7 linked regions of the Daphnia pulex genome follow. The main gene of each other region encodes a partner of the protein of the gene in region 4 in a complex. Links are inferred from orthologs where the notes say so. Each region holds a gene or a part of one and is shown on either strand. Other genes may lie near its edges.

Evidence for each region.
Region 1: pre-mRNA-processing factor 6-like (region 4) and U5 small nuclear ribonucleoprotein 40 kDa protein-like share a complex: the UniProt entries of both Homo sapiens proteins name them as parts of the U4/U6-U5 tri-snRNP complex. The link is inferred for Daphnia pulex from reciprocal best matches to the Homo sapiens genes PRPF6 and SNRNP40.
Region 2: pre-mRNA-processing factor 6-like (region 4) and U6 snRNA-associated Sm-like protein LSm8 share a complex: the UniProt entries of both Homo sapiens proteins name them as parts of the U4/U6-U5 tri-snRNP complex. The link is inferred for Daphnia pulex from reciprocal best matches to the Homo sapiens genes PRPF6 and LSM8.
Region 3: pre-mRNA-processing factor 6-like (region 4) and small nuclear ribonucleoprotein F share a complex: the UniProt entries of both Homo sapiens proteins name them as parts of the U4/U6-U5 tri-snRNP complex. The link is inferred for Daphnia pulex from reciprocal best matches to the Homo sapiens genes PRPF6 and SNRPF.
Region 5: pre-mRNA-processing factor 6-like (region 4) and U4/U6.U5 tri-snRNP-associated protein 2-like share a complex: the UniProt entries of both Homo sapiens proteins name them as parts of the U4/U6-U5 tri-snRNP complex. The link is inferred for Daphnia pulex from reciprocal best matches to the Homo sapiens genes PRPF6 and USP39.
Region 6: pre-mRNA-processing factor 6-like (region 4) and U6 snRNA-associated Sm-like protein LSm5 share a complex: the UniProt entries of both Homo sapiens proteins name them as parts of the U4/U6-U5 tri-snRNP complex. The link is inferred for Daphnia pulex from reciprocal best matches to the Homo sapiens genes PRPF6 and LSM5.
Region 7: pre-mRNA-processing factor 6-like (region 4) and U4/U6.U5 tri-snRNP-associated protein 1-like share a complex: the UniProt entries of both Homo sapiens proteins name them as parts of the U4/U6-U5 tri-snRNP complex. The link is inferred for Daphnia pulex from reciprocal best matches to the Homo sapiens genes PRPF6 and SART1.

The regions. Positions count from the first base shown.
Region 1 is NC_060027.1:3,204,468-3,208,402, forward strand, and holds U5 small nuclear ribonucleoprotein 40 kDa protein-like, read right to left. Parts: upstream 2,801-3,935; 5' UTR 2,458-2,800; coding exon 2,380-2,457; intron 2,224-2,379; coding exon 2,094-2,223; intron 2,031-2,093; coding exon 1,857-2,030; intron 1,795-1,856; coding exon 1,586-1,794; intron 660-1,585; coding exon 456-659; intron 398-455; coding exon 232-397; intron 161-231; coding exon 108-160; 3' UTR 28-107; downstream 1-27. Other genes in the region: syndecan-like, read left to right, coding at 3,821-3,913. UniProt on the Homo sapiens protein: Required for pre-mRNA splicing as component of the activated spliceosome. Component of the U5 small nuclear ribonucleoprotein (snRNP) complex and the U4/U6-U5 tri-snRNP complex, building blocks of the spliceosome.
Region 2 is NC_060019.1:330,990-333,608, forward strand, and holds U6 snRNA-associated Sm-like protein LSm8, read left to right. Parts: upstream 1-1,488; 5' UTR 1,489-1,567; coding exon 1,568-1,598; intron 1,599-1,660; coding exon 1,661-1,701; intron 1,702-1,782; coding exon 1,783-1,910; exon of another isoform or gene 1,911-1,976; coding exon 1,977-2,067; 3' UTR 2,068-2,119; downstream 2,120-2,619. Other genes in the region: alpha-ketoglutarate-dependent dioxygenase alkB homolog 7, mitochondrial-like, read right to left, coding at 1-97, 176-300, 366-533, 610-894; zinc finger protein 277-like, read right to left, coding at 2,131-2,217, 2,285-2,369, 2,432-2,619. UniProt on the Homo sapiens protein: Plays a role in pre-mRNA splicing as component of the U4/U6-U5 tri-snRNP complex that is involved in spliceosome assembly, and as component of the precatalytic spliceosome (spliceosome B complex).
Region 3 is NC_060019.1:9,593,577-9,596,393, reverse strand, and holds small nuclear ribonucleoprotein F, read right to left. Parts: upstream 1,352-2,817; 5' UTR 1,211-1,351; coding exon 1,205-1,210; intron 1,126-1,204; coding exon 997-1,125; intron 878-996; coding exon 746-877; 3' UTR 737-745; exon of another isoform or gene 695-736; intron 683-694; 3' UTR 501-682; downstream 1-500. Other genes in the region: phospholipid-transporting ATPase VD-like, read left to right, coding at 2,404-2,707. UniProt on the Homo sapiens protein: Plays a role in pre-mRNA splicing as a core component of the spliceosomal U1, U2, U4 and U5 small nuclear ribonucleoproteins (snRNPs), the building blocks of the spliceosome.
Region 4 is NC_060027.1:3,689,252-3,693,452, forward strand, and holds the start of pre-mRNA-processing factor 6-like, read right to left. Parts: upstream 2,801-4,201; 5' UTR 2,789-2,800; coding exon 2,698-2,788; intron 2,619-2,697; coding exon 2,479-2,618; intron 2,421-2,478; coding exon 2,237-2,420; intron 2,163-2,236; coding exon 2,125-2,162; intron 2,062-2,124; coding exon 1,866-2,061; intron 1,793-1,865; coding exon 1,697-1,792; intron 1,625-1,696; coding exon 1,470-1,624; intron 1,400-1,469; coding exon 1,372-1,399; intron 1,312-1,371; coding exon 1,134-1,311; intron 1,063-1,133; coding exon 900-1,062; intron 843-899; coding exon 681-842; intron 587-680; coding exon 447-586; intron 367-446; coding exon 216-366; intron 1-215. Other genes in the region: endoglucanase 12-like, read right to left, coding at 3,773-4,001, 4,076-4,201. UniProt on the Homo sapiens protein: Involved in pre-mRNA splicing as component of the U4/U6-U5 tri-snRNP complex, one of the building blocks of the spliceosome.
Region 5 is NC_060025.1:1,779,032-1,783,171, reverse strand, and holds U4/U6.U5 tri-snRNP-associated protein 2-like, read right to left. Parts: upstream 2,695-4,140; 5' UTR 2,564-2,694; coding exon 2,488-2,563; intron 2,408-2,487; coding exon 2,261-2,407; intron 2,201-2,260; coding exon 1,911-2,200; intron 1,854-1,910; coding exon 1,628-1,853; intron 1,560-1,627; coding exon 1,273-1,559; intron 1,205-1,272; coding exon 1,014-1,204; intron 954-1,013; coding exon 818-953; intron 754-817; coding exon 667-753; intron 606-666; coding exon 558-605; 3' UTR 501-557; downstream 1-500. Other genes in the region: uncharacterized protein LOC124202306, read left to right, coding at 3,500-3,551, 3,642-3,772, 3,847-3,926, 3,997-4,140.
Region 6 is NC_060021.1:7,375,193-7,377,708, reverse strand, and holds U6 snRNA-associated Sm-like protein LSm5, read right to left. Parts: upstream 1,033-2,516; 5' UTR 1,001-1,032; coding exon of another isoform or gene 968-1,000; 5' UTR 946-967; coding exon 913-945; exon of another isoform or gene 854-912; coding exon 656-853; intron 583-655; coding exon 544-582; 3' UTR 514-543; downstream 1-513. Other genes in the region: serine/threonine-protein kinase mos-like, read left to right, coding at 1-59, 135-299, 358-513; peptidyl-prolyl cis-trans isomerase H-like, read left to right, coding at 968-1,000. UniProt on the Homo sapiens protein: Plays a role in pre-mRNA splicing as component of the U4/U6-U5 tri-snRNP complex that is involved in spliceosome assembly, and as component of the precatalytic spliceosome (spliceosome B complex).
Region 7 is NC_060026.1:10,447,664-10,451,656, reverse strand, and holds the start of U4/U6.U5 tri-snRNP-associated protein 1-like, read right to left. Parts: upstream 2,801-3,993; 5' UTR 2,775-2,800; intron 2,674-2,774; 5' UTR 2,472-2,673; intron 2,391-2,471; exon of another isoform or gene 2,368-2,390; 5' UTR 2,355-2,367; coding exon 2,189-2,354; intron 2,134-2,188; coding exon 1,963-2,133; intron 1,906-1,962; coding exon 1,580-1,905; intron 1,516-1,579; coding exon 1,254-1,515; intron 1,196-1,253; coding exon 896-1,195; intron 831-895; coding exon 547-830; intron 474-546; coding exon 311-473; intron 237-310; coding exon 62-236; intron 1-61. UniProt on the Homo sapiens protein: Plays a role in mRNA splicing as a component of the U4/U6-U5 tri-snRNP, one of the building blocks of the spliceosome. May also bind to DNA.

The sequences.
Region 1 (3,935 bases), about 480 kb from region 4:
CGATTAATTTAAATGCAATTTTGTAAATATGCGTAAAAGAATTATTTGTTTATTCGTCCTCGATCCTTGCCATCGTTTCAACTGAAAAAAATTATAACCTTTCCTAATTAAGCGTCAATTTCGCCTAGGTAAATCAGCTTGTCACTGGCACCGGATGCAACTATGTTTCATTCAAAATAAAAAATCTGAAATTAATTGATGTCCTTGATGTTGATTTGCTGCGTAAATTACCAATAGGTTCCTTAGGATGAAATACAACGTCATTGACACTTCCGTTGTGACCAGGTAATTTGTAAATGATGCGGCGAGATGTAGTGTCCCAAATGTAAACGAATCGGTCGGCAGATCCCGCTGAAACTTTGGTTCCGTCAGGTGACCATGAGCAGCGAAGTAAATTCTATAACATTACACAAGGTATTAGAATGGATTGAGAAATTCGCCGGCATTGTATATACCTTTTCAAAGTTGTGAGCATGGCCAACCATCATTTTGATACAACGTTCTTGAGGAGCGAAAGGTCGTACATCCCAGACACGTAAAGAGTTGTCCATCGAGTTTGACAACACGTAAGATCCATCAGGACTGAGAGTCAAGCCGGTCACAGTGTCGGAATGGCCCTTCAAGGAGTAGAGGAGAGCATTTTTTCTCAAGTCCCAGACCTAAAAAGGAAAGTGTATGATTTACCTATCTCTCCATATTCACGTGAATAGCTCAAGGCCAGGACCAGTTGAAATATCGCAAATGCAAAACTACTTTTCAGGTTTTAAAATGAATATCTTCCAAAAAAAGGAGAAAACTTAACATGGGTTTAGTTCGAACGAAAAGATAATCGATAAAAAGTGAAAATTATCTATTTTTCAGAGTAAATTCTTCCTAAAGATGTCGCAAAATTGTCATAAGTATTACGGGGAAAAGTTTTGATCGATAATGTGCAACCATCTGACAAGCAAAGAAGTATCAGAATCCGCTTCCAGCGTTTCACATTTGCCTCAAACTGACAAAACACAAAAATGCGCATCTTCAGTAATTAGGATGGAATTAGGACATTTGACGAGACCCTACTGCTGAAATTACTTGAATTAATTTTAAAAACTTCGCCTACGAGCTTACATTAGTGAACCCATTCATATATCAAAGAGAAGGGGCCCTGGAAGTAAGGAAGGACTTGGTGACCTTATCAAGGTGAGACACGCGATAATCAGAATACCAAAGTTGAAATCCCTTGCACTCTTCAAGGAAAATGAACTCGATGATAGGGTAAGACAGAACTTGCACGAATATGGTTCAATATTAAGTAGAAAACAATCAACAATGTCGAAACTTTAGTTTTTACAACAAAGACAGAATATGACTGCAGGTCCTTCCTTTTTTGCCAAACTATTCTCTTGAAGCCATCAAGTAAAAATACTGAGAACTTTAATCAATTCTGTAAGAAAAATACTCAAGTTTGTGACTTTCTCCCACTCACACGGAATATGAAGTTCGCCGAATCGGTGGCTTAATTCAAATTCTTGGAAATTGGTCCCATAGTTTTTCTTCTCTCTCTCTCTCTCTCTATTACAACAATTGAATTTTGCGAACTCACCTTAACATCGTTGTCGATGCCTGCGGAAATGACTTGTTCGGCGGTATCGTTGAAGGTGACGGAAGTCGCTTGGTAAGAATTATCTAATGATACTGTCTCGGTTCTTTTTCTTGGATCCCAGACTTTGATGTTGCAGTCATCTGAGGCGCTGCAGAGAAGAGGAGGTCCTCTTCGTGCAGGATGAATAGCATTGACAAAGGAGGAGTGGCCTGTTGAAACAAATTGTTGTTGGGTTCAATTGCTAAATAATGGGACAGTGACAATGGTATACCTTTCAGTTTCTTGATTTTAGCTCCTGTTCTGGTGTCCCACAAACAAATGGTTTTGTCTGTACTAGCAGTGTAAATGGTATCACCATCGGTAGACAGCTGAAGATCCATTACTGCTCCGGTGTGACCAGACAACACAGCAAAGTTTTCACACTCTCCATAAACATTCCACAAAACTGTTGAACAAGAGGTTGATTATCCAAACAGTAGAGATGCTCAAATGTATATATGATGCTTACATATTTGTCTGTCGAACCCGGTGGAAACCAAAAACTGGCCGTCAGGATGGAACTTCAGGCTAAAGATATCTCCAGGATGTCCTGCCAGGAGCATTATAGGAGCCATGAGGCTAGACGTTCTTGCTGGTCCCTGTTTATTGAAAAAGTCAATATCACATTTGAATTCATCATAGCATCTACAACAACAAAACACACAAGCTGGTCAGCATGTGGTTGGATGCAATTCTCTTTTGTGATGCATTCGGCTCATTTAAAAGTTTATAAATAAAACACAAATAAATCAAACCTGTTGCAGGGCCACTTGACCCGAGGTGGCCGACACCAATTCATTATTGCTGGGATTGTTTACTGACACAAGCGCCATTGCTCCGGCTTCTAGACTTTTAAGAAAATTTTCAAGTTGTAGAAAAAAAAAGTGAAAAAGTTTTGACAACTACTACTGACGGAGCAGAAGCCTTTTCTTGCTAGATCTATATTTTATAGTGGTCGCCTTTTCCAAATCTTGTTGGAAACTTGGAAAGACTTTGGTATAATAAAAGAATAAAAATTGAGATGGGGAAAAGCTGTCACAGTGGTATATCGCTCAAGAATTTCCGAACCCTTTTTCTCTTTCTTTTTTTGGGAAAAAGAAGTTGTAACTCGAGGAATTTCATGAACACCCGCGCAGTCTTGGAAAACAATGGGTATTATTGGGGCCGGAAAACAGGCGAACCCACGATCGTAAAAAAAGAAAAGGAGTGTTAGAAGAAGGAGGGAGAAACAACAAACATTAAATCTCTCCCCTCGATATTTTCTTAAGTTTTGTGTGTCCGTGTGACTATAGAACAGAGGACCTTCTAGTTTTTTAACACTCGCAAGAAAACGACTTCACCAGTATATGTGATAGTCGCTATGTCTGGGATTTCTTTTCCATTCCAACGAAATTTGGTGCGTCGGAAAGAACAAAACTAGTCTCTCGAGATGAAGATATTTTGAGCGCTGAATCCATGACCTAAATTGAGTCATTCATTTTTTCCCAACATGATGAGGAAATGATGAGATTGATTTTTGTTTTTCCTTTTCTTTCCCGTGTGTGTGGTTTACATTCGTCCGTATAATTTCCACGTCTATGTTGTTGGAGGAGAAAGTGGGGAGGAGCTGAAAACTGCCGCCAGATGGCAGAGTTTTTGGTACCCAATGGCGGCGGAGGGACACAAAGAAAAATCCAGTCCCTTCAGTTTAATGGCGGCTCTCGGCTGGTGTGTTTGATGATCTGGGCGTGAGTTGGGATCTTTTAATCCATTTCGGCCTTTGGTTACATCGAGAAGTGTCTCGAAATCACGCCAATTCCCGGCAACTCTTTTTGTTCTGTTGATATTTAACATTCCGTCCCCGAATCGACGAGTAAAACTCGGCCATCGTTTTGGCTTCACCAGTGAACTGTGTGGTTGAGTGCGCGCCTGTGAGAGAGAAGAAGTGTGAAAGAAAGAAAGAAAATGCCCAGCCTGACCTGAGAGCATCACCGTCTGTGTTTAGAAAATTAGAAAAACGGACAAAAGGCTGCAACTATCCTAATTTATTCGACCACGTTCTCCACTTTTGTATTGAAATAACACAAAAATCTTGGAAGAAAACTTTAGAAACGGATATCCGGCTCTTAAAATAAATAATACTGAAAAAATCTCTCTCTCCACCCTCTCACACACACGTAAGGCAGACTCTCAAACGCTCAGGAAATTCTCTCAAAAATGAATCCCAGAATACATATGGCGATTTTCATCGCCTTTTTGGCTGCACATTCGGTTAGCAGTAACATCAACAGTGCATCATCGGTTGCCAAGGTAAGAATGCCACCACTTTTTA
Region 2 (2,619 bases), on a different chromosome or scaffold from region 4:
TACAGAGATACGCCTAGTTTTCGTGACTTTCTCTCCCCGGAAGAAGGATTCGCTATTGTTCAGAATTTCGTGATTAAATTCGTATCTAGCAAAGTCCCTGCAATAACAAAGAGAGAGACAGAAATTTAGATAGAGTTATATATCACGATGGGCTCTATTTTGCATAGATAATTACTTCATTATATACAATGATCTTCTCGGTAATAGTGCCGTGACCAAGACTTGGGGTCGCTGTATATGTATGAGCCTCATCACACTGGCTGTGAGCAGAGATATGCCCGATATGGTGGGGCCACAAAACTATGTTTAGAGAAATATACGAATAGATTAGAATGATAATTTCCAAACGCTGTCATCTATCATACCTTTATGCTGTCCAGATGTGGTTTGATGTGACCATTCTCAGCTAAATCAAGCACATGGACATGCTGCATCGTGGTAGTTGAAAAGGCAAAAGCTCTCAACCGATTTATAACACAGTCATTGACTTGATTCCAAGTAGGTTTCTCTGTTTCCCTGTATCCGTGGATAGCCTTTTGGGTTTCGAATAACAAATGGTGGTCATTCAACAGTCAGACAACCTACGTGAACACGAAATTTCAGACTTACATCATCCCAATGGTCATACTGATACCGGGACCTTTTGAACTTCACCTCCAACTCTTCCAATAGGTTATTCTCTTCTTCAGCACTGATGAAATCTTTGTAGACTTGAAAGTCTTTCTCAAGCATTTGCCTCGTCGCTTCATCGCAGTCGGGAGAGAATTCTAAATTTGGAGAGATCCCGCGGGTCTCTGCGGGAGTTGAGCATGTGCTTCTTGAATGGGAACAAGTAGCACTTAAAGGAATTGCGCGCTTCAAAACTGCACGAATATTGACCAGATAAAGCACCATATCTCGATGCTAAAATATTCAACCATTAAAAGTCGGACATCAAAATATTTCAAATCGGCAATTTTCTGCAAAGAGCAGACGACGTTTGCGTGTGTGTACGTGACATGCCATATTTCGTTTTGATTGCAATCAAATGTAAAAAATGATGTCATTAAAAATGACAGACGGTACTTTATTTAATGGACATGTATATTTAAAATAAATAGATTTAACAAAATTGGGCTGGGGTTAGTCACGCTAATATATTATTTCGTTTAATGTTAATACCTCAAAACCGACCAAATAAAGAATTATACCGCATAATGGAAATGTAGGGCCTATCTGATTTTCAAATTTATTTGATGGCCAAAGAAAACGATTCATCAAAACTCTAGCCTGCTGAGTTCTTCTCCTCACCAACCATTTGATTAACGTCTCGGGAAAATAGCCTCAGGCACCCCTTCTCGATTTCTTTAGTCTTTTTCAAATAACCAATTTCCATACATAAACAAAAATTATATTACTCTATCGAAATCATTAATCACTGAAACATAAGTTTACTACAGTTTGTATGAATTAAATCTGAATAGAATGAATGAAAATACTTTGTTGATATTAAAGTAAAATAAACGGCAACGCTGTATTGCAGACGATTTTTACAAGCCAAATACAAAGTGAAGCGAGTGAAGAAATCATGGCATCAACGTTAGATTCTTACGTTAATCGTGAGTTTTAATTATTATATTGTTTATTATTCACTGAAAAATTGTATCTTTCTTGTTCGCAGGTTCCGTATGTGTTATCACGAGTGATGGGAGGAATTTTATTGTAAGTTGTAACGCCCGATCACAAGGCATCATCCTCACTCAATAAACCGTTTGAAATAATTTCAATGTATTCTTTTTACAGGGTATTCTTAAAGGATTCGATCAGACTATCAACCTTATCATTGACGACAGTCATGAGAGAGTGTTTAGTTCTACCCAGGGAGTTGAACAAGTCCAACTGGGACTGCACATCATCAGAGGAGACAATGTGTATGTTTCATCCACTTATTAGCTGTAAAATAACTCAATCATAACTATTTCTTGTTGTAATTTCAGAGTTTTAATTGGGGAAATTGATAATGAACTTGATTCCAGACTCAATTTATCAGAAATAAGAGCAGAACCACTAGCTCAAATCCACCATTAAAGTTTGCATTATTCCATCATGATCACTTGAAATACAATCTTTTTTACAGCTTTGTAGAATCATTCATTTTTTTACAATTAGCTCTAGTTTAAGCAGTTCTTCTTCAACTACTTTAAGGTTTATGATGGTGTCTTCAGGGATCACTGTTACCTAATTAAATGAAAAATCATGAAAACAAGTTTTTACATTAATAAAAATCAGACTTAATATAATTTACTTGGTCGGTTTCAGTAGAATCATCTGGAATGGTATCTTCTAGCAAACAAAGAAGAGCATCATTTTCATAGGTTGGAAAGTAGTACCTAAAAGTTTATCCAATAAAATAGGATCCACAAATAGAAAATTTTGAATGTATCCGGCTTACTGTGACTGATCCCAAACTGCCCGATCGGGAAGTTTAAAGTGACTGAAGTTTTGCATGTGCTCTCTCAGTTTATCCCGGGATTCAAACTGCTCATCGCAAAGTATGCATTTCTTTTCATGCACTTGTCTCCTGACGTAGTTGACAATCTTAATTTGCTGATAGATACTAAAGCTCTTTTTCAGGCCCAG
Region 3 (2,817 bases), on a different chromosome or scaffold from region 4:
TAAATGTGATCCTGACAGTAACGTTTTAATCTTCGTTGTCTAGTTAGGAACGTACATTTGTACAATGTTTATTATTTGTTTCAAACCGTAGTAATTCATCTCGGAGTTCAACAGCCTATAACTCCCCTAACGTTCAAACGACAGTGATAACTTGCGCATGCTTACCGTCCTATAGTGTTAACAGCCGTGTTACATGCAGGCCAATTGAAACGTATTGAACAATTAATATTCATAAGCAATTAGGTATTCTTATGACATCAGCTGGTACCAGCGTGAGCCAATCGGAAAAGGTGTTTCCGGATTTGTTTGCCTTTTTGATTTATACCTTACAAAATATATTTACGAACAAGTTGGTGTAAGTGGAAAAGAAATGTGACTTGAGTTTTACGAGCATGCGGGACTGCGGGCTGCCTACTAACTTCATTCATAAGGTAGCTTAACCATTTTCCATTTAGACAAAGCCTTTATTTTCCGACTAAATGGAAAAAATCGCCGGAACGTAAGAAATTCCAGTATACTTAACATTAAATCACCAATACGGTAGACAACGGTTCTGTGTTTGGAATTTGGATACTGAAAAGCTGTTTTTTTACTTGTTTGTCCTTCGTTGTCTGTGGGAATCTTGTAATGTATACACCAGAACATATTTTTTAGGGTTTCCAGGTTTCCTATACAATAACTTCTATGAGATAGATAGGAAATGACATTATGTATTAAAGGATGAAAAATTCAATACAAACAGCAATCAATCTCTCATTTCTCCCTCCTCATCATCTTCTTCCACTCCACGTATGTAAAGTACATTGTTGCACCTGACAAGAACTTCACCCAAGTTTCCAGTACAGCTTCCATCAATATATTCTTCTGTGTTTGCCAACTGTGATAATATAAGAAGAATTATTGCCATTGTTCATATATGCACACTGTTTCGTGCAACAGCATGTTTTCATTTTTTTACTGATGAAAATGCACTACATGGTATAATTATTACAGTACCTGAAGATTCATGTATCCATCAACTGAAACGAGATAACCTTTGTATTCATGGCCCCACTTCAGTTTTACCATAATCGGTTTGCCGGTTAAGGCATTGAGAAAGGGTTTGGGATTGATGGGCATGGGTGCCTGAAAATATGAAATATAACATGTTAGTAAATGGTCGGCTAAAAAGGACCACCCAACAAGATTTAGGTTTTGAACTTACTGCCATGATTTGTATTTGTTTTAGTCAACGATTTTACAAAATTTGATTGAATGTTTGACAAGCGAGTCAAGCCGCGTTATTTCAGTTTACACGTTCTGTAACGTAAAGATCAGAAGTAAGGGTTGCCAAGTCGTCTTATTAAGTACATCAAATTTTGAGAAAGTTTTTCCATTTTGTAGGAAAGAAATTTACATATTTAAACCTAATAACTAGTGAACTAAAATTACCTTATAAAATAGGATTATTTAAATAATTTTTTGATGTAATGTAATGAGATATCCATCGTAGAGCAACGATCCCGGATCTCTGGTTCCGGACCAAAAACTCACGTCACCTATTCTGTTTTCAATCATAATAGCTGGAAAAATTTACAACCAAAGGAGAATTTTTTTTTATGTATCGTTATTAAGTGATTTTGTTTAATAAGTGACTCGTGGTCGTGGATATGAAAAGTCTTTTTAACAAATTGGCAAGAACAGAGAAGCTTCACAACCAGAATTAGCGCTCTCTAAAAAGTAATAAAAGAGGGTTTTGCGTTTCGCGGAATTAAAAAGATAGGAATTTATCACAGTTTGTCTTGATACAGAAAGACTTTTTAGGTTCAATTTTACATTTTGGAAGCTTTTAAACGGTCAACAAACCGGTTTCTTATTTCACTCCGGTGTCCATTCCGCGCAATTTCCTTTATTATCGGTTACCGAGTGTAAAATCTGGCAGTAAAGCTTGTACGGTGTATGCAGCAGAGGCTGAAAGCAGTGCACAGCTGGAATTTGCCGTTATATACGTGGACACACAACAAGTTGCTCAGTTGCTGACACTAAACTCTATCTTACCATTCTTTCATCTTTTTGCACTTTTTTTAAAGTTGACGTCACTTTCCAACCGATTGTTTTTCTTCCATTTCCTCACTGGGTTCCATCATTGGACCAAATAAACGAACAATCGTTCCACTGTTAAGACGATTTGTTGATTTTAGTCTGCCATGGACATTTTTTGAAAACAAAAGCTGACTTGTCTTTTTCAGCAATATTGAAATAAGATGTTTGGTGAGTAAATAACTCTCCCTTTTCCATTGCTCAGAAGTTTGTGTTGATTTTGAGTTGGTTGTTGGTAGTCACAAGCTTGACAGTTAGTTTCGTGAATGGTTAAAGAAATTCAATTGTAATTGAATTTGGTACTCTCTCATTTTCAGGGACGGTATGGATTTTGATTCACCGGGTACCACCTACATTTTTCCTGATGTGATGCAACCCCCAATAGAGCTTGAAACTGTCAACCCCCTGCCAAGCAGGGGTTGGCCGGGTGGAGTTAAGGGACATGTTCGCTCTGCAAGTCATGGTGTCATCGGAGTTTCCTTATTGAATCCAACATTACATCCACAGCCCTCTTCGCCATCCCCTGCAATTGGATTATTGGAGGCAGCTTCAGGATTGAATAAAGGGGAAAGATCTTCACAAGATGCTTCTTCTGCCAATCCAACAGTTTTAAAACTTCCTTATACAGGTATTTTTAAGGTTTCAGCACTCTTGATTTCTTTAGCAAGAAGACTTGTAATTCCTGTTATCTTAATTAAATATTTTGTTCATTTCATTGATAAAACCTTCTTGGTATTT
Region 4 (4,201 bases):
AAAAAATTTTCCCGATTGTTATTTGACACATTCCGAACAACCAAAAACACCGAGAAGATTTATTACTAAAACGAAAGGCGGATGAAAATATTAAATATCTTCTTCATCTCATCTTCCATGTTCCTGCACTGCTTCTAGTTGAAGATTCCGTTAACAGCCAGTGATTGCAGAGCAGCTACAGACGCCTGGAAGCCCGCGTTATAATCGCAAGCTACTTCGTTCGTAACGAAATTGTGTCTGTCATCTACGTAATGGTCATTTTGGTTATCTGGGCCACCAATTAGAGCTCCATAGAGGATCTGGGGATTAGGATTGGGTGAATCAAAGGCATCCCAATCGCAAACGGCGGGCCTATTCGGACATGAACTGCAAAAAGACGAAAAATTAGAAATGTGTATAATATTTCTGGATATCTATTGTATGAACAAGAAGCTAAAAACACGAACCTGGACGCATGATGTGGCTTCAGTGGTGGATTGTGCCCGAAACCCACGACAAAACTACGGCCTGTATCTCCAAGTGCATAATGAATCTGCTGTTGCGCCAGTTGGCGATACGCCAATGGATTGATGTTCAGATCGGCAGCCTACGGAATAAGTGAATAATATATTAATATATTAGTTTAACGTATTTTTAATCACCAGGCGTAAAATTGTGAATATAATTTTTTTTTTAAATACTTGAAGACAAATGAAAGCGATATTTGATGCGGCGCCTAAAGATCCCCACTTGGTAACAAATAGGAGCCCCTTTGGCGTCTTCGGTTGTTCAACTTTGGAATCACAGAAAGTTTTCGCTGCGTTTCTGTAGAGGTTCTCATTTGTCAGTTTGGCCAACAGAACCTATATGAATTAAATGGCATTAACGGAACAATAATTAAACAAATATAACTGATTTACCTGTACTCCGGCAGTTTTCGTATCCCATGAAAATTCCGATGGATTATCGGAGAGGTTGAAATCGGTGTAAAATGCCTTAGCATCGTCGAGGTAAGCGTTATCGTTAGTAGCTCGGTATAACCAACTAGCGCTCCAAGCCAGTTCGTCACCGAAACCACTTGACCTACAGGCAATTGTGATATTATACCGGATACACATCAAACGCAACAATTTTATTAAATTTAAAGCTTTTACGAATAAAAATCTGCTACTTGTGGGATGGACTCGCTGTATATTCCTCGATGTCGTTTAGCAAAATCGTACAATTGCTTTGCATGTGTCAAGCAAAGAGCTGAGTAAGTGCTGTCGACTGTTTTAAAAACTATTGAAGTTGCGGCAAGTGCGGCAGCTGTTTCACCGGCCAAGTCAGACCCTATCGTGCGCAATGTTGTGTTATTTCTTTGAACGACAATATAATTTAAAAACAAATTACCAGGTTTTGAGGTAGATATAAAAAAAGCCTAAAGCGATAGAAATGTAGTTTTCAGTCGATGAAATAAATGAGTTTAATAATGGGTCAGGGCTTTATACCGGTCGTTTCATGGTCATTTCTTCGGGACGTCCCCAGTAATCGTGATCGAGATCGCCATCGCCCACTTGCCCATAAAATTTGTTAGTTTGCACATGGGCCTTGATAAAGTAATCTGTCGCCCACTTGACCATATTTCGAGCTGTTGTTAATTTCCCTGTATTATTTAAATTAATCCAGTAAGTTTAGTGATCTGATTCAACGAGAAATTGGTTTAAATTTTTAAAACCTGCGGAAGAATATCCAAGCGGATAATCAATTATCGACCAAGCCACTATCGTTATAGAACTGGCTAAAGGAAAACCGAGTTTCAAGTGATCTCCAGCTAAATAAATATGGTAAAGAATTTCAAATACTTTGATGGAATAAAATAGAATACAAATAATAGTATAAATTACCATCGTAATAGCCTCCAGTGAGATCTTCTCCGTCTTGTCCACGATCGTTGAGCGCCGAGTCTGAACGATACGGAATGGGGTTATCGTTTACTGGCAAGCGCCCAGAGCGCTGGGCATAGTAGAAGAGCAATGATTTGGTGATTACTTCACGGTAATTGTATTTAGTCGGCCAGGCATCCACTAAAAGGTTGTTCTCCTAGAAATTGCTTCATTTAGTACAACTTTTTCCATTTTATGCCAAAGAATTAAAATTTATTACTTCTTCTATTATCGGTTGTCTAGCCTCTGTTTTAGTGTCTTGGAAGGACATAATAAAAACAAAATTTAACCAAAAATTCTCTATTATTACGATTAATAATTTAGTTACTTACCAATTAAACAGACGTTGTCTCCGTTAAAAAGTACGCTTGTAATAATGGGTGTGGTGCTGGAACTAAAGAAAGCATTAAAACCGACACTCGTCAGTGTAGCCCCAGCGCTCTGAACTCCGTTAGAACTGAGGTTTCTCAGCTGATATTCCACTTCATTAATCTTAGACTCTGTAGCGTCCCAAGCCTTTAAAAATAAAAATATTCAAAAATGCTATCTATGATGTAACAGGAGCGTGTCATACCTTTAACCATGGAACGGCCGATGAAAATTTCAGGTCAATTTCCCATGAAGTGATTGGAGTCGTAATTGAAATATTAAGCGAGGCAGTCAAGCCTCCCGGCCAAGATGAGCTAATTGTGACGACATTATCGCACGGTCCTCCTATTTATTATTTTGATTGGTGTATTTTTCAACTCTATAATCATGTTAAATATGAGGAACCACACGGAAGAATATTTACCGGAAGCTAGATGCATGAAAAGAAGAATAACGATGAAGCCGGATAAAGACAACATTCTCGGTAGTAAGTTTGCTGGATTCTCTGTCAGCATCGTTCGTCCCGCTCGCCTTTTTATACTTTACATTCGGTCAAAGCATACACGGCACAGACTCAACTCTTTTACGTTATTGCATATTACTTCACAATAATTAAAAAATAACGAAAATACAGTTGCGTAACAAGAATACCATCACCATATTAAAACCATTTTAGAGGAAAAGAATTACTTGAGCAACGCACTGGTATTAGGAAATACAGGACCCATTCGATGGAATGCATACTCACACTACCAGTTTCAAGTAGATTTTATAATATGGATGACGCACAAAATTCTTTTGTTTAGACATTTTTAAAAATTGTCTTATTTTTTTCCCGATGGAACTATAGCCTTGATAACTACGACTTCTTTTGCACGAGGAATTTCAGCGAAATCTCTTTACGGGTTTCTTCGCGGAAAACGTAGTTACGCTTGTTGCATTTTTCGATTTCTATACATCAGTTTATCACCCCCTGTGCGGATTTCAGATGTTCTTGTTTGAAACCAATCAACTTCGACGCTAGATTAATGACTAGCCTATTGTGATGTTTGGGAACTTGGAAATCAATTAGGTGTGGAAATCAATTTATCAACATCTTCTATTGAATTCAGCAGTTGCATAATTCAGGTTTCAGATTGAATGAAACAACACGCGAGCTACCACCTTTACCTTGAAAAGGACATCGAACTCAAACGTATTCCAGACTTTCCTTATACTCTTTCAGATTAATAGACGATTCTTCGTGACATGCGCATCGGTTGAAAAGTTACCAATAGTTTGAGAAATGTATCACCAAATTTTATTTAACTTTTCAAGAACACACAAATGCAGGCGTTTTTTAACCTTTAGTAATAAATCCCATTTCCAAGAAAACCAACAAGATCAGCAGTACTGTAGCAGATAACCATGCAGAATTAAGAGTAAAATATACTTTCTAAAATGTAGGTATATAATATAGTTGTGTAACAAATTCCTGTCTTATCTTGTAAATTTGTATTCTAGTTGAAAACACCTTGGACAGCCAATGATTGCAAAGCAGCTACAGATCCTTGGAAGCCGGCGTTATAATCGCAAGCTACTTCGTTGGTAACGTAATTGCTCCGATCATCCGTGTAATTGTCGTTGCTATCTGGACCACCAACTAGACCTCCATAAAGCACCTGGGGATTGGGTGCAGTTGAGGAATAAGTGCTCCAATCACAAACAGCTGGTCTATTCGGACATGAACTACATAAAAAAAAATAAAAACATTAAAAAATAATAATGCTATCATATTTATAAGCACAATGTTTTATTCAAACCTGGACGCATGATGAGGTTTCAACGGCGGATTAACTCCAAAACCCACGACAAAACTACGGCCTGTATCTCCAAGCGCATAATGAATTTGTTGTTGCGCCAGTTTGCGATACGCCAATGGATTGATG
Region 5 (4,140 bases), on a different chromosome or scaffold from region 4:
CGTTTTCCAATTTTTTGTAGCATAAAATAAAAATCACCCCACCGCTGCTCACCGCAAAAAAATAAGCTATTTGAATTCGATCGAATGCTGGTCTGATTTTTGAAGAAACTTTGTGCGAGTGTATGTAAGGGAAAAAGAGTAGCAAACGAGCGGAATTCATGAAGGACAATTTGATTGCGCGGTGTGAATCTAATTTTTCACTACGACCCTTTATTTTTTCATCCCTTCTGTCCTCTTTGGGGGTTGTCTCTTACGTGTTTGTTTCAAGATTTCTTTATTTTGCTCTGCATTCTCAAACCCACTTCTTCTCTCTTAATTAAACAAATCACTCCTTTTTCCCTGTTTTGCCACACAACATCGTTTGGAGCAAGATAAATGAAACAAAAAAAAACGAAATAAGTTGTGTATTATTGCATCTTGTGTAATCAAACATGGTTCGTTTTCCTCGCGACGTGGTGTGTTAATTTTATTCAATCCAATAAGAAGTCTCACATTAATGCTTTAGTACGAATTTGAATATTTATTTCAACTCGGGTTTTACACTTTTGACAGAAATTTCAGTTGGACATTTCAACGTCGCTTCTTTCCGTAGATTGTTCCCATATCTAAAATGTTTGAACATTTTAAATGGGACATAATAACGTTTTATTGTATTTTTTTTTCTACCTGAATGTAAGCTTCTGTGAGAGTGATCATCTGCGGAAGAATTTCTGTCACGTGCAGATCTTGCATTTCAAACCATTTTCCTGTCGCCTAATAGAAGCAATTGACTCGTGAAGTTTATTGTGATTATTGGTCAACAATAAAACGAATTTACCTTATGAAGTATGTGAACACGATAAGTTCCCTTGGTTGGTTCTCCATCATGTACAATATTGGCTAACAGATCGTATGTGGTACATCCGTGTTTGGCGCGAACATCTGCACCTAGAATATCGCCAAAATCCACACCCCTAAAAGCACATCTCAATTTTGTAACAGTCAACAAAAAATGGTGTGGTAATTTTATTTACCTGATGGGGAAGTTTATGATGGTGGGATTCTTTTCTATGAAAAACGTGTTCTTCGTGAATCTCTTGATGTTGAGAATAATGTAACGTGGCAGTTTTGTCAATTCGAATCTCTTCAAAAAATTTTCCTTGTAGGTCTTGTATTCCTTTTGCTGGACTCCATTGAATTGAGACAGCAATGCAAACAGAGATACCTGAAAAATCAACAAAAGACTCGATCTAGCTTTTAATTAATGCTACAAGCTAATTGATTTTGGCAAACCTGTGGAATGATGTTTTCGCGAAATTCATCTTTGAACAGAGGAGGGGGAGGCAAGTCGGCTGCCAGAAAAAGGAAAGGCGAATCGACAAATGTTTCGACGTATTCGGCAGTCAACATCAGTGCATCCTTTTCTGTATCAGTGGCATCGATGGGTGGGATTCGCTGAGAATGAATTTTCATTGCTCCCAAAAAAGATTTGTAGATGATTGAAGAAGTTGGCTTCTTGGTACCGTTTAATGCCAGATGCAACGCGTTTAAAAACCACGAAAGAAATTCCACTGGATCACCTGAAATATGGAAAATGAAGAATTAGCAAGGTAAAATTTTAATAACAATTCTCATAATTTAATATTACCCTGGCTTGTAATTTGGAATTTCTTTTTACTGCACAGAACGACAGCCTGGAGCATCTCGTGGGGGGAAACGTGAGCCTTAAAGTTGCGTGGATTCCAAAGCTTACGAATCAATTCACCAAAACGCTGAACTAAGATGACGTTATTGTCTCCAGGAGGACGCTTGATACCAATGTAGTTCTCTTCCCTGAGAAAGTAATCGCGTAGTGGAACAACATGAGATAAAGCCTAATACAAAAGTAAGTAAAGTTTATTATTTTAATTTATAGTTTACTACTTCATTACCTGTAGGACTACATTGCAGTAATCATTAGCTTTGATGTTATTGAGTCCAACTACTCCAGGACGGTAAAGAGTACCATCACAAGACCTAGATACTTTATCAATGACATCCAACACTGCAATATTTGCTTTTTTGAATGTTGGATTCAAGACATATTTGATATCATCGAGTGATGAATCAATGATTTCATAGTTGTCTGGCAGACAATAGAATCTTAGGGTGTGAAGGTTCAAAAAAACATGATGTCCCTCTCCCACACTGTGAAGATATGCATGTGTGCTGGGGCCTCTTCCTAGAATTCATTTGAAACAATTTAAAATATGTGAATATTGCTGTTTAACTTCAAATTTACCTTGAAAGTATTTCCCACACACCAAACATGCATAGACATTAATCCTTGTGAGCGAGACTGAACAGAGTTTTTCAAAATCAAAATCCAAAACTGTCCTGTTTATTGTGTCCAAATAAGGACACAAACGAGATTTGGCAATTGGTTCTCCTAGAATTTTTATCAGTAAAAGTTGTTACACGGATTGCACTATATTTATTATTTGGTTTTGTGGATAGTGACAACAATACTTGTTTTCACGACGGGTTCGTCTTCATCATCGAAATCTTCATGTTTGCGCTTTATATCACTCTTTTCCGTCCCCATTTTTGAAAAGATATTTACCCCAAGAGCCAAAATTGACAGCTTTTCTTATTGTTTAAGAATTAAGGAAACTCGAATGCAGAGTTACGGAAAGGATAGCAGACACATAAAACGAATGCAACGCGTTAATGCCGGTAAACGAAAAAGTAGAATTATTGTCCTGTAGATGGCGTGAACTACTTCATTCAAATCTTGTAACGCGATTCAAAATTTCGTTTGATTATCATGGTCATGCGTCAAGTAAATAATTATTTGTACAAGATGGGGCTACTATTTTTTATCGTTTGAATTACTATCCTGATAACTAACTAAAAAACCCTTATTTTGTGTCTGGTAACGCTGTTGGGTCTTGGGTGTTGTGTAATCATCTCAAAGTTTAGAGTTTGTCTCGAATTTGTTTGGATGTATTATCAGAACTCTGTTTACCTTGATTAACTTATGTCAACAGAAGTCTATATTTTGAAAGCGATATTCATGGTTCAGATAATGATGTTCAGCATAGTGTAGATTTTTTCTGCCTGGATACAAATTGCTTACTTGAACCATAAACCCGGAAACAAGCAATTTCCGGGTTTCTAAAAATCAACTAAGCAATTGGTGAATTAGAATTTCGTAATTCATTTTCAATAGAATGTTTTTTTTTGTATAAGTTCGTCCTTCGAAGGTGTACAAAAATATAATCATTGGGTAATTTTGTTTGCCCTTTGATTTTAGCACGCAATACGGATTATCAGATTAGTCAAATCAAGTTCGATGTCACAATCATAATCTTTGAAAAACCCATTTATATCACTTTCTAATCAAGAAGTGATCGATTGCCCAATCATTGATAGACCAATAATTTTTGTATAAATTGGTCGTGTGCAGTTTGCATTTTCTGTTTCTCAAAAGGACACGGTTTCTTTCTTTAACTTTAAACTGAAATTGTGTTCGTTCGTCATGAAAGTGGTTGGCATTTTCGCTTTGCTCTGCCTTTTTACCCTTTCCAATGGTTTGCTCATATTTGTTACTCGTTCCTTGATTGGGTTGATTCTAAATTTCTAACGACCATAATTTTTAATTTTGTCATTACTTTTGGTAGGTGCTGGAATTCGACGCCCCGTTTCTGGAAAAGGCGAGCCGCTTCTTCGTCTTTCCTTTCCGGCCTCTGAACATTTGATGAATCGTGCTCGAAGTGGGGAAGCAGGAAATGCCAATGAATACATGGACGAGGTATTTGTAATATAATTCAATTTCGTTCTTTGATTTACTGAATTTTGTCTTTTTAAAAACATTTTATATTTTAGGTTTTGGCTTTAGTTCGCGAGCAGATAGTCCTGCTAGGATACGACCGTATTCAGCTTCCAGATGGCGATTTTAGCTTTACGTATGACGGGAAAAATTGACAATCAACTTTATTTTTAGTAAATATGAATTTTCTGAAATTTCCTAAATAGATGGGATGCTTACCCCGGCGTAAATGGCGGTGTCTTTTTGCACGATGGCTTGGCTACTGGTTTGGAAACAATTCACCGTGTTGGGGACGCTACTCTTAGCAACACTGACACTGTCATTTTCTTTGAATCTGATTGCGGCATCAA
Region 6 (2,516 bases), on a different chromosome or scaffold from region 4:
GGATTAAATTGGGAGACTTTGGAAATTCTGCAAACATTCATCAGCTTGATTTATTCCAGGTTAGTTTTATCTTGTCATATCTTGATGTGATTGAAAATGGATGTAATTTGTGTTCTATTTAATTTCTGTTTCAGTACCAACAAAGAGTAGGTACAGTTTCTTACTGTTCCCCAGAAATACTTCAAGGGGATGTTCCCTCAACAAAATCTGATGTCTATTCCTATGGTATAACATTATGGCAATTTGAACACAATCAAATACCTTTTTCTGACTTGGACTGGCCCACTGTAGCATACCTGGTATTTCATTTTTAGACTTTTTATGTGATTCATTGTTAAGTTTCTTGTTGGTTATTAGGTTGTTGCCAAGGATGAAAGACCAGTCCTCAATAGTAATTGTAATGAAGAAGAAACAACATTTAGTAAGCTTTATCAAAGCTGTTGGCAACCAAAACCTGAAGACCGCCCAACTATGTCAGAAATTGTAAATATTCTCAAGGATTTGAGTGAATGATGTATTGTCTTTCGAAAATTAAAGAAAAATTCATGAATGAGCTTCTGGTCCCTCTCCACCAGGAACTAACTAAATATCAATCATGAAATGGCTATTAGTTCAAGTAATAAGACAATAAATTATGTTGCTATAGCATCCTTACCATAGTTATGTTGTTTCCATTCAACAGGATCTGGTCTAGCTTAGTCACACGTCTTCCTTCTGGAGTAGATTCAAATTCTGACACATCTTCCAGCACCATGTTGACAAAATCGTCGAACCCTAGCAAAGTTCCCACTATTTCCTTGTCATTCTTCATGATAATGTGGATCCTTGAACCAATGCATTTATCAACCAACTCCTGTATACCACACCAAATTTAGGTGAAGATTTAATTGCATAACTTTAAAAAAGTATTACCAGAGGTAAAAGCGTGGGTACTGGTGCAGCCATTTTATTTAATTAGAGGGAAAAAATGAAATGTCTTCCACGCCAACTTCGAAAATTTGTAAGTTAAGTTTGGTAAAATCTATTGCACTCCGGAGTCCGGAGCGCTCTAGTGTCAAAAGTGGCTATTGCACTCCGGAGTCCGGAGTCCTCTAGCGTCAAAAGTGGCTATTGCACTCCGGAATGGAAATATGTAGTACTTTCATTTGGCGACCGATGGCATTCTGTTTCTGTGTTTTGAAATTTGAATGGTTTAGATTTTTTTTCTTTGGAAATTCAAATAAAATGTATTTATAACAATCATATATATTTGAATATCACTAATAAATAAAAATAGTCAGTGTATAGAAAGAACTTTTATTTCGTTATCGTTAACTTAGCTAGAGTTTAGAGTACAATGTCCAACATTGAATCAGTACCTTAAAATTCAAATTGTAAATATAGTTAAGTGTCTTGCAACAGGAATAAAGTAGAATTTATAAACATTTCAATTCAGGGTGATATTTCTTGTTAACCATTTCAATTTCTCGCTCTATTTGCTCAGTGTAAGGATTTATACACGTTATAAACGCATATAGTGAGTCACCCTTTGTCGCCCCTTACCTGCCTGAAAGTCGAGCCGGAGTTCTCAGAACGGGGCTTCGAGGGGTTCTTTGTGACCTTCAAACGCATTGACCAGCAACTCACTATTTCTGCTGATTTACACGTAACGTGTGATTCAGCTGATTTCACGCTATAAACCATGCAATGCCCGTGTCTCTTATTCCAATAAACTAACAGCTAAACACGTCTTTCATATCTTGAAACAAAACAATACAAAACTAAGTTAACATGCAGATGCAGTTTACTTTATTATAGTGAGAATATCAAAAGACATTTTAACTGAATTGTGAGTGCGAAAAAATACTTGGTATTTTCGTGTTCAGTTTCACTCGGTGCTTTGTCATCACATGAATGAACTGACAATGAAAAAGTAATTGATTTTAAGGGGAAAGAATTAGCACATGGTGCGGCGTCAATCAAAGATCCTTTAAGAGCGGAATATGGAAGCGCCTTGTCCTTTGATGATGGGTTGCTTTAGGTTCCAACGCCGCGGAGATAATCATAAACAAAGTTAACCACTCCTCTTTTTGACTACCAGTATTTTGTAACATCTATCTCCCTTATGTTGTAAAAAGAATATTCCTCGACGATGACGAATGGTTCTGTCACGAATGTAAAAAATAAATACCTTATTATGTAGCCTCATGTATACAAACCCAGGATTGAACTGATTATGTGAAATATATTGTGTTAAATTTGAGTAGAAAGTAAACCTACTGTTTTTGTTTATACACACTCAACTTCTTTCATTATTAAATGATATCGAAGAACATTCTTCTTATGTGATATAAAGTCATGATCAGGTCGTAAACGTAAAGAAATAGCGAAAACCCCTAATCCTGCAAACCTTAAAACTTTTATAGATGAAATAAGTAAAATCTCACTTTTCAAACATGATCCTTTTTTTTTCAAAATGTCAAACACTAATTTCTTGAAGGCATCAGGTTTGTTTTTCATTTGGGGAAATCTCAAAA
Region 7 (3,993 bases), on a different chromosome or scaffold from region 4:
AATAACAAAATAAAATAAGAATAACTGAATATCGTATAAACAAAACACAAAATAATTGTACGCTGCTTTATCTTCTATGGTGTAGCGCTGCGCCTGCAGCTCTTGGGCGGACTTAGAAATAACTATCCTCTTCTTCTCTTCTTTCTCCAGATAGCCTTTGCTCATAGCCAATTTCAAAGCTGCAGCCATTCCCGAGCCGACATCAGGTTCCTCGTCCAGGATAACAGTAGCGTTATCTATTTTACAGAGAGAAAAGAAAAAAATGCAAACACTGACAACAATAAAAGTGACGAGAACACAGTATACATACCCTTTTCATTACGATCGACATCCATGCTGTCGTCGGAACCTTGATCGTTTTCACGTTCCAGAACATTCCATCCACCGCGTTCTTGAAGACGCTCAGCCTCCCTTTTTCGCTCTTCTTTTTCTTGATTTCTTCTGCGTTCTTCTGCCAACTGTCGCTCGAAATCCTATTGCCAAAACAGAAACGCAATTAATTAAAGTCAAAACCAAAAAAAAAAAAACATTCATGCAATGAATTACCATTAACTCATCTTCGTCTTCATCACGATTGCCTGCCATACCATAGGTTGGTATGTCACCAAGAGTACGACAGAATTCTGCTGTGGCATTCAGTATGATACTACTCTTCAGAGGATCCTCTTCCATACCTTCCGTTTCTTCCAAAGGCTCGCGTTTTAATGACCGCGTAATCATGTTCATGTCCCACTGATCAGCCTTCCTTTCTTTTAGTTTATTAGCTTTTAATAGTGCCTGACGTATTTCTTTTTGGGATTCGTCTACAGTAATCTTGAATCCGCTTAAATCTGGCGTTGGATAAACAAGACATAATAAGTAATAATAAAACAATATACTAGTCAAACTAAAATACCTTCTGTGACCTCTTCATCCATTCTCTTCTTTCGAGATCTCGATCCCAAGTCTGACGAAGTTGTTTCTTGCGTTTCTTGAATAAGATCGTCAGCTTTTAAAATGCCGTCGCCTTTGGATCGAACCTTTTTGACGCGACGTTTAACTTTTTTGAAGGAAACCATTTCTTCTGCTGTATAATATTCAGATGCAATTTGGAGCGGTCGCGATTCCAGTGATTCAATTTTCTTCTGTTGCATTTTGAGTTTGTCTTTCATCAACTTTTGGGCTTTCATTTTGGCTTCTTCATCTCCAATTTTACCTAGAATTTTAACATAAATATTTTTGTAAAGATCAACAAAACAAATCTAATATTTTACCTAGGACAAAGCTATCATGTTTTTCTCCTTCTATTTCTGTGTCATATTTAGCAAGCAAGAGCTTTGGTTTGGGAAGGCCCAATTCATCAACTTCTTCCTCTTCATAGGGCTGATATCCCGGTCTCTGTTTCTTGATTTCATTGTTCTTTTTGTAGCGTTCTATATCAACAAGGTTGACATTCACCAAAACATCCCCTTCCTCTTGCAAGATGTTTTGATCTTTAAGAGTCAATACTACTTCTTTCCCTTCAGCTATCATTTCCTAACAAAATAAAGCAACATCAACACAGGTATTCAAATAAAAGTATACGTTGTCGGTGACTTACCCGGTCATGTTCTACTTTTATTCCTCGTAAGTCTCTACTTGTGTATGCTTTTGCTTTTTGTTTAATCAGTTCAGTAGTTACCATATCTCCTACACCAAATGCTTCATCCATTTCTTCAAGCATTTTTGCTCTTTTATTAGCTTCTTCCTTTTCTTTCTGAATCCTTCTTGATTTTTCAACCCAGCTAACAGCATTGTCATCATCATCAGCTGTTGTATGAGCAAGAGTGCGCACTTGTGCAAGCTTTTGTTCTATTTGCCTCTTTTCTCGTCTTTCATCTAGTTTTCGTCTCAACTCTTCTGTGGCTTTCTTTTCACGGAGGTTCTCTAGAGAAATACCACATTTAAATTGTACAAGTAAAGACATTTAAATGAAATCATTACCTGCTGGGACATGAACATCCTTTTTCTCAGTACTGGCTTCAACATTTGAATTTTCTCCTCCAATCTCCAATGGCTTCAAACCAAGTTCAGCTCTTATTCTGTTGGTTTCCTCAATCGAAATGGAAGTATCATTGGTTGAATTAGCAACTGGTCTTTCATCATTCCCTTTTCCTTAAAAAAAATTATTGGTTACTAGTTACTAATAAACATAATTTTGAATACATACCTGTCAACAGTTCTTCGCTCTGAATGTTGAGACTTATATCTTCCTTTATTTGTTTGGATTTGACGGAGGCATAACTTTTTGAATGTGATCTTGACGGAGACCTAGATGGGGAACGATGTCTTCTTTTTCGAAAATTATTATGATCGCGACTTTCTTTTCGGTCCATGTCTCCTTAAGAACTGAAAGAAAGTAGTTTAACTTAGGTGGGAAGTTTTGATTTCTTTAAACATAAAATTTTTTTCAATAGAATTCCTTAAAATATCAAACAATAAAAGTAGGGTACCAGAATCTGTATTCACTTAATGATCTTGCAACAATTTTACTTCAGAACTTGAGAACTGAGAAGCAGACTTCAGCTTTTGCAATATTTATTTTGATGCCGTTGGGTGTTGGTAAATTGCTAAATGCGGGATTGGAAAGCGGGGACAAATACAAATCCATTGATTCCGCAACAGATGGCGTGTTAATCCTCCTATTGAATAAAACTTAAAAAAAGAAAACAGAAGATAAATTTATCCGTAAATCAATAAAGGAAAAACATAATGAAAACATTAAGGCCAGTATAGTTTTTAACTATTTGTTTTACATGTGAAGACTTGTGCGGCAAAACCAAAAGTCCAAAACGAACAATGTCGTTGTCGATTTTTGTTTATACTAAGGGTTCCAAGATTCCGCACCAGGTTCGCTAGTGAGGTAGGCTGATCGCCTCAAAGACTATAGATGTTATTCCAATGAAAAAGTAGTAGTCGAACAAAAAGTCCTGCGCAGTTTACGCCGATGCGCACCACTGCGGCCGATAGCAGAACCAGAGCAATAGATGCCTGGTCGGTTCTCGGCTGTGTTGGCTTCCCTATCCCGGTTTTAGGGTAAACGTATCCCCGATTTTCAGACATTTTAGGGCGGAGCTTGTCAGAATTGTGAAGTAGAAACTGGAAACAGAGCCATCTAGGCTCTCAAAAGTAGCTAAGCGTAGTAGCTGACACACTCACTAGAGCGCTCATTCCAGTTTCCAAATCGGACCACGTTTACCCTGAATATAGGGTCTGTTGGGGTGACCACCCCCTCTCGATTTTCGCAGCGCTAGGTGGCTTATAGGATGAAGCCCGGCATGGCCGAAAAACGAAGAAATTTTTAGAAATTTTTTCAAAAATTTCAATCGTTAATATCTCGGCTTCTGAGCCGAGCATCGAAAAAACATGAAAATTGTTTGAAGAGGTGGGCTATCCCATCATTATGAAACAATTCGAATATTTCCAGGTGCAGCAGTTGACGAGAAAACTGCTGCACAAAAAACGAAAAAAATTCCAAATTTCGGCTACCCCCTCTCAGTTTTTTTAAAAAAATCTCCCAAATTACAAAAGCTAGGCGATTGCGGTTTTCAGCAATCGACTTAGCGAAAAATTTTGCACAAAACCCATCTATTTGTTAATTTTTAGAACCCCTAGCGACGATTTCCGCTAAATCAAAAACGGCCTCTTTGAGTGGCGAATCGCTTGTTGAATCGTTAGGAATATTGCTCAATTCCAGTTCGAAGTTGCCTAATTCCAGTTACGACAAAAACAGCAAGATAGAGTTGCATTTTGGTTCGGAGAAATAAACTGGTAATACTGTGTTGTTTTTTGGTGGTATATCTTCGTTCCATCCAAATATTTCTCTGTGCAGAGTGACTGGCAAGTTCGATTCAAGAACATACAACAACATCCTCAAAGAACATATTCTTCCTTTTTGCAAGATGAAATCAACTAGACATATTGGTGTAGTACATGACTGGTAATCTTATTTTCACATTACAAATTAAATTTCTT